Caenorhabditis elegans: one gene and its partner. The protein of the gene in region 1 interacts with the protein of each later gene in a pairwise test. Each region holds a gene or a part of one and is shown on either strand. Other genes may lie near its edges.

Region 1 (3,929 bases):
ATCTGAAACTCGGAGAGCTTCGATTCGCGAGCTTCTATCTCTAATGCTTGCTTGTGGAGAATGGGAAGCAATTGCTACAATGAAGTTTGGAGAGCATGAGCAGGTTGTTGAAGACTTTTTGAGAGATGCTGCATGTCGTCAATCACCAAGTGAGAAGAAGCACTATTTCGAGTTACTCTTTGCGTTTTACGTCGCTAGAAAAGACTTTAGAAAAGGTAATTCTCCAAGTTTTAAATAAAGCGCACTTAATTTATTTACAGGAGCTTGTGCAATGTACGAATATGCACGTCACATCGAGTCAACAACGTGCATGACCCCCGAACTTCTCCGCAGAAAACGTGACTGCCTTGCTGTCGTGCTCAACCTGCAATCAGTTCTTGGAATGGAGCCAGACGGTTTTTAATGTTCTGAAAATTATTCTCAAATTTGTTTTTCAGACGATCGAGCTATCTACGATGACGCTACTGACACGAATTTAGTATTTCCTGAACCTTCAGATGACGAGGATGAGCTGATCACCGAATCTGATTCGTCTGGTGAAAATGGCAAATTGCCGAGCGGAAACAAAGATAGTGGAAGTGGTACTGGCAACAATTCTTCACCTGATAATTCGAATGGAACCAGCTCGTCAGGAACAGGTGTAGATTTGGTAGCACTGAAGGCAAGGCAAATGGCATATGCACTTGGATCGGATGACATGGATACTGATGATACAGAAGATGATATGAAGGGAGGAAGTATTCCATTGTTCAAACGTAGAAAGTTGCTGGTTCTCAGTGAAAAAGAGTACGTCTTTAGAGTTTGTTCATAGAGTTCATTGTTTTCTTTCAGTATTCGTGATGAATTGGTCTTATGTTCCGCACGAGTTGGTCTTCTTTCTTCTGATCAATTCAAGGGAGTTCCACCGACTGATCTTAACGAATTATTTTCATTGCTTGTTGATAATCAACATTTTGATGAAGCATTCGACATTGCAAGGTGATTTTTATAAAAGATAGAGGATGATAAAACATAAATATATTCAGGCAATTCAATCTGGATTCCCACAGGCTATTCTTTACCATGACACGTGAAGCAATAATGATTGATGCTCTTCGGGATGACCTCAACATCGAAATGGCAGCAACTCATCAAGCCGGATGGGTTCGTCTTAACCGCAGGCACTGTGCTGCCGTCGCTACCGCTGAAGAACATTGGTCGGTGGTTCGTGGGTTGGTTGATGCGGCTCAAGCAGAATGGCCTGGAGATTCTAGACCACTTCGAGGATCCACTGAAGCGTTTCTTAGTTTTAAGCTGAATGTTCCTGTCTGGTTGCACAGTGTTTTTGAGGTTTGTTAGCTGAATAGAGAATAGCTTTAAAATATTTTTCAATTATTTCAGAATAATGACGCTAACGATTACCTTAGATGTCTCGTGGATTATGAAAGTTATTCAATTGCTCTTCAAGTTCTCAGTGATATTGTCGAACAAGAAACTCTACAAGCTTCCCAGTCAAATGCAAGAACCTGGCTTCCATACGGAATCATTGATGAATTGATGATCAGGAGTGCCGATTATATCCGGAAAATGAGTCTAAAATCTCCAGAAGACCAAGTAGTAGCTGCAGAAGTTGCAAATTTGAGAAAAAGTGCTGATCAGAAAATGTTGATCTATTTCCGAAAAGTGGCTGACTTCGAGCAAGCTCAAAAAATGAGCAGTAGATTCTTTGATAAATAATTTATATTTTCTATCCCATTGTATTTCTTAAAATTGATTCCTCTCCACTTTTCATCTCACATTTTCAACAGGTGTTTTTTCAATTAAGGATTATCTTTTGTGTTATATTCATTTTCGCTGATTGTTATTACTGTTTTATTCTCATTCTCATATTATCCGGTTACGACGAGATGAATGAAATTTTCAATGAAAATTATTATTTCCGAGAGAAAAAAGGATAATCCGTTACCGCATACTTTGCCGCTTAAAACCGTTATAGACAAAATATAAAATTTAGATGGAGACATTCATATTGTCGTCTGATTCTGATGATGATTCTGGACCACCACCATCAAAAAGAAGAACAATTGAAGGAATTCCTAGGAGCTTTAGTGGAGATAAGAAAATTAGGTTTTTTTAATTGAATAAAAATTTGGAATTAAATATTTTTTGTAGGTTCTCATTCGGTGCCTCCAATATGTCGCAGGACACAACTCAAGAAATAATTCCAGAAGATACAGACACAGTTCCCCTCACAATTCCATCTACACCTGCTCTGTCCGGCAAATTTGACTCGAAAACTCCAAAATCCGTTCGTCGTCGATCAGTATCGATGAGCTGTTTCACACCGATTGTTGAAACAATCAATCAACCTCCAACAAATCAAGCGTGCTCCAGTTTTCTTCAAAAGGAATATAATTTTCATGATTTGAGTAGTGACGAAGAAGGAGGTGACGGAGGAGCAGGTTGTTCCAAGGATGAAGACAAAATAATTGAGGATAATCTGAATTTGCGAGCACTTCTCAGTCCTGAAAAGAAGAAACGCAAGGAAAAGGTGATTTTCGTGAAAAATTGAACTTTTTTCGAAAGCGTCAAGCGTATTGAATTGATGTTGAAAAAGACCGATCTTGGTGTGTTTTCAGAAATTTTTAAAAGTTTTTTGAAATGGAATATTTTCGATGGTTCGGTTTTGCTTAAAAATTACTTAAACTTAAAATAAAAAAATTGCCCCAATGCGAAATTCAGAGATTTTTGCTTTAAAAATACAGTACCCGGTCTTGACACGACCGATTTAAGAAATGTGCGCCTTTAAGGAGTACTGTAAAGAGTACTTTTCGCAGTTGATTAAACTACAGTACTTCTTTTCAGATAAACTGTTCAGCCAGCTCCAAACCAGATTTTGTATTTTTCGATTTTTCGACGCAAACCAAATTTATATAGATTTAAACAAATTCTGTTCAAGTTTTAATTAATCTAGGCAAATGTGTAAATACATCATCTTGTTTCGAATTTGTTTGGTTGAATGTTCTCCACAATAGGTGTTGTTTCTTACTGAATGGTTGTAAAAAATAAGAAAGAGCGATATGCATTGCCTGTTGCCCTCTATATTCTGTCTTTTGGGAATGTATTTGAATAATCTCTTTGTTTTTAAAGGTTGTTTACAATCATATTAATAGAACATGTGAAGATGTAGATGTACTCGATGGTTGTAAAACCTGGCAGACAGAATTGGTTCCATCATCTACACTCTGACTTTTGGGAAGATACAAAATCGTTCAATATATTATTCGTTTTTGACAAATGAAGACAACTGTTTTGAAATTAGTCGGTTATATTATAAACGTTTTAGTTAAAAGTGCACAATTTTTGAACTGAACGACAATTGGTCTGTTCGAGTTTGGGTATTGTATAAAAATCGCAAAATTTATCATCTAGGTTAAAAACCGAAAAATCGAATTTTTCCCAGAAGAATAATATTTTTTAAATTTTGTATTTAAAACCATTGTCCGAAAAGCCGAAAAAAAAACAAATAAAATAAAAGAAAAAAAACCCCCCAAAGTTTAATATTTCAATTTACCACCCGTTTTTATAATAAAATAAAATAATTACCGTAATGCGAACGTTTGTACATTTACGAAGAGCGTTTACTCCTCGCGGAAAATAGTTTTACAGTTTTGGACCATTTTCGCCAATTCTTATCGATTTATCTTAATTAAAACACTATAAAAATTATAAAGTAATCCAAAACCAAGTATTGAAGACTTCTCCGCAAGGATTATACAAGCTGCGTAAATCGACACATGGCCGTGTAAAAAGTGTTCTTCCCCAAGTATTTCAAATAAATATATTTCAAAAACCCCCAATTTGAGATCGAGGAAGTTCAAAATGAGTTTTACGGAGTTTATTGTCTCATCAGTCGTAGCGACCGTCCGTGTTACAAAAATCGATGTTAC
Region 2 (3,929 bases), on another chromosome or scaffold:
GTGGAATTCAAGAACATATGCTCGGTGACGTAAGTTTTTCTCAACTAATACTATTCGTTAACCAATGTTAAATTATTTCAGTCTCGTCAAGGTGGATGTCCTGGAACACCAGTCGGAATTCGAGTCAGATTTGACAATGGAATGACTGGATTCTGTCCGAACAAGAACATCTCATCAAGTCACGTAGACAATCCATTAACCCGAGTCAAGATAAATCAGCCATATTACTTCAAAGTTCTCAAGTTGGACAAGGAGAGATTCTCACTATTCCTAAGTTGTAAGAGTTCGGATCTGAAAGAAGATGATTTATCTCAACGTGATCAGTACTGGGATGAGCATCAATACCAAGCTGATTTGGAACTGATGAAGAGTGAATCGAAAAAGAAGACAGAAGCAAATACACGTGTGAAGCGAGTAATTGCGCATCCAAATTTCCATAATGTATCCTACGAAGCTGCTACGAAAATGTTGGATGAAATGGATTGGTCTGAGTGTATTATTCGTCCATCGGCTAATAAAGATTCTGGTCTTTCTGTGACATGGAAGATTTGTGACCGCGTCTATCACAATTTCTTTGTCAAAGAATCCGCAAAGGATCAAGTTTTCTCCATTGGTCGGCAACTCTCAGTCGGCGGAGAAGATTTCGAGGATCTTGATGAGTTGATTGCTCGATTCGTTCAACCGATGATACAGATCTCTCACGAGATAACAACTCACAAGTACTTCTTCCCAAATGGAACATGCGAAGAAACAGAAGCAGTCGAGCAATTTGTACGAGAGAAGAAACGAGAGCTGGGACGATCTCCGTACGTATTCAGTGCATCCTACAGACAGCCATGCCAATTCTGTATTTCTTATATGTTCGATAATACAGAACGGATTCGACATGAATATTTCAAAAGTGAGTTTCGAAAAGAGATACGAACAAAGTTTTCAACTATTTTTGTTTACAGTTGTCCCACATGGAGTCCGATTCCGACATCAAAACTTTGATACGCTAGATCGAATGATGGCTTGGTTCAAACGCCATTTCCACGAGCCTCCCATCGAGTTAAGGCGATCTGCGATCCCGGCTCCACAGTATCGAGTTGGTGCTCCTCCAGCAGCTCCATACTATCCTCCTCAATTCGTCGGCTATCACTGAAAACCCTGATCTTATTCTCTTTATTACCCACACCTTATCAGACACATTCAATCCTGTTTCCTTTGTTCCAGTCTATCAACGATGATCTAATTTTAATTTATAGAATACAACATCCATCTGTCTTAATCCCACATAATTTGTTTTGATTTCGGTAATCCGTTCATCCTCGATTTTTACTTTTCAAACATTTTTATATATCTATCAAAATATTTATTCAAGCAGTCATACTGTTCATGAGCTCTTTCTGTATTCAAGTACCATTTTTGTTGTTTACTCAATAAATTTCGTAATCAGAATCACTGCTAAATCATCACGAAAAAACGTAGAATGCGTTGATCACAATTGATATTGGAATAAGAATTGCAAATTCAGTTTTAGAAGAAAAAAAAGTATTCTAGATTCTACTCATATGAATGATTCATCACTAAAAAAGGCACTGTCCCAAAACTCGATCTCATCCGCGCCAAGGTAGTAAGGTTTTTGTTTCTGTCGTATCTATTTAACCTAAACGTAAATTAAAAAATATCTGTCTTTTTTTCTAGGCGTCCTCAAAAACTTGGAAGTGTGCAGAGTATTGTAAGAAATGAATCTGACAAAAGTAAGTTTCAAATCAAATTTCCCAATTAAATCAATTAATTTACTTTTTGAGATGTTCCTTCTCCTTTCGAAGAGATCACACTGAGCGACGATGATGAAGAAGCACCGGCTAAGAAACCTGTAAAATGTGCGACGTGTGCACGAGATATGACTCTTTGGATGAATTCCAGAAGGTTTGAAATATTATTTGTGTTTCTTCTCACTGTTCAAATTTTAGAGATATTCATGTAAAAGTTTGCAAAGCGAAACAATCAGAGAAGGAGAAGGAAACTACAAGAAAATCGAAAACACTCACCGAAACCATAGAAAAGTTAGTTTCAGTAGAAGGATATTCTGTGATGCAAAAACATATTTCAGAGATGATCAAGTTTATGAGAAGCCATCTTCAAAGACTCATCTATTTGAAAAACCTTTCGAAAAACCACAGGAACTTCCAAAATCATGGGAGCTATCGAAGAACAACGTGAAATTTGCACGAATCGCTGAGGATGATGAGGAAAACCGAAAACGGAAGCGTCCTCGATCGTTTGCAGTTGTGGAATTGGCACCGAAAAAGTGTCAATGTGAGGTTCTTACGACACTTCATTCAAGATTTATTGACGAGTTTCACAGTAAATCTATCAAAAATCAAAAGAAACGAGAGGAAGGAGTGACTGAGCATGCGTTTCAAATGAAGAAAATGATTGAAAAAGTAATTTTCTAGTTTATTATAATTTAAAAAAAATCACTTTTTCAGATTTCCCGATACGAACAACTCTCATCTGACATGCAAAAAGTTCTTGATGACAATTCTGAACAATTACCAACTCACATTTTCATTACCTGCAGTGATGGTCATCGTGTAAAATGTCAGACAATGATCTTGAAACATCGGACATCACTTATCAGACTGAACCCTAAATCTGAAAATATTCAAGTCGAGCACACAAAAGAAGTTGTGAAAGCATGGATTTCATTTGTATTCACTGCAAATATCGAATGGAATGATGATGATAAGGATGGTGTGAGGGATTTGGCTTCGAAGTATGGACCTGTAGGATTAGACTTGATTGTGAAAAATGATAAGGAGGAAGATCTTGAGAAAGTCGATGATGTTGAGGACGTGGTAGAGCCTGAAGCTAAGATAGATTCTGTAGTAGCTGATCCTGTAGAAATAGAGCCAACTGCGTCTCATAGCGACCCAATCGAACTTGATAAATCTGTGAACTACTTCACATCTGATGATCCTTTCTTTGGATTCGGAAAAGCTGTCGAAAATGTGGAAGATGATGCAGAACAAATCATGGAAGATAAACCACATGAATCAGTACACTCTACTCCACAGAAACCAACTACTAATGTGACAATGGATTCATTCGATGAATGGAGCAATCAACCGTCTACAAATCTTCCAACTACATCCAATGTCATTACTCCAATCCGCAACATTACCTCAAAAGCTGTCTTCGGATCCCATGTCAAAATTCTGAAGACCAATGATATAACTCCAATGCCTGCATTCGATTCAATGGAAGAAGCAGAATTAAAAGAACGAATGAAAGAGATCGGGATGCGGCCAAAAGGAAAGAAAGCGATGATTCAGATTCTGAAGAAAGCATATATCACATTACATCCAGAAATTTGCTCAGGAACACCTACAATTCGTCCGCTTGTCAGATCTGCAAGTTTAGAAAAGGTTTCGGAACAAGGAGGAAAGGGTGGAAGGAAAACAATCAAGACGAAGACATTAAGTGAAAGAATGATTGCATCGCCGAAGAAAGTTTCTCCTAAAAAGCAAGGAGTCAAGAATGCTATTTCTGGTGAGTTTATTCATTTTCAATTAAATTGAAAAATTGCTAGACATTTTATCTAGTTGCTTTAGAAGGATATTAATATTATATAATAGTTTCAGATGAAACTTCCAAAAATGTATCCAATGTTTCCGATGATCTGGATGAAGATAATGATGGTGATAAAACATTGAATATATCAAATGACGAGCGAGAAGTTGGAAAAATTTGCGGTGATGACGTTGGAGACGATGAAGAAGATGATGATGATATGTCAGCTTCCAGTACCAGTGGCAAACATGACTTGAGTGCATTGAAATTGGCATTTTTAACATGGCTTCGAAGTGATCAGAATACAGTTTTACATGAGCACATTCTCTCACTCCAACCTGTATCCTTGGTTAGATTCCAAAGTTTCC

Evidence for each region.
Region 2: the proteins of slx-1 (region 1) and him-18 interact in a two-hybrid assay, tested with the Caenorhabditis elegans proteins (3 studies listed by BioGRID).

Annotation. Positions count from the first base shown.
Region 1 is NC_003279.8:5,180,743-5,184,671, forward strand, and holds the start of slx-1 (Structure-specific endonuclease subunit SLX1 homolog), read left to right. Parts: upstream 1-1,993; coding exon 1,994-2,106; intron 2,107-2,151; coding exon 2,152-2,530; intron 2,531-3,845; coding exon 3,846-3,929. Other genes in the region: npp-6 (NUP160 middle TPR domain-containing protein), read left to right, coding at 1-215, 261-395, 438-786, 832-978, 1,026-1,329, 1,381-1,716. UniProt on the Caenorhabditis elegans protein: Catalytic subunit of a heterodimeric structure-specific endonuclease that resolves DNA secondary structures generated during DNA repair and recombination.
Region 2 is NC_003281.10:4,712,802-4,716,730, reverse strand, and holds the start of him-18 (SAP domain-containing protein), read left to right. Parts: upstream 1-1,542; 5' UTR 1,543-1,553; coding exon 1,554-1,612; intron 1,613-1,686; coding exon 1,687-1,742; intron 1,743-1,793; coding exon 1,794-1,914; intron 1,915-1,958; coding exon 1,959-2,051; intron 2,052-2,098; coding exon 2,099-2,432; intron 2,433-2,477; coding exon 2,478-3,540; intron 3,541-3,632; coding exon 3,633-3,910; intron 3,911-3,929. Other genes in the region: emb-5 (Suppressor of Ty 6 homolog), read left to right, coding at 1-29, 82-901, 954-1,144.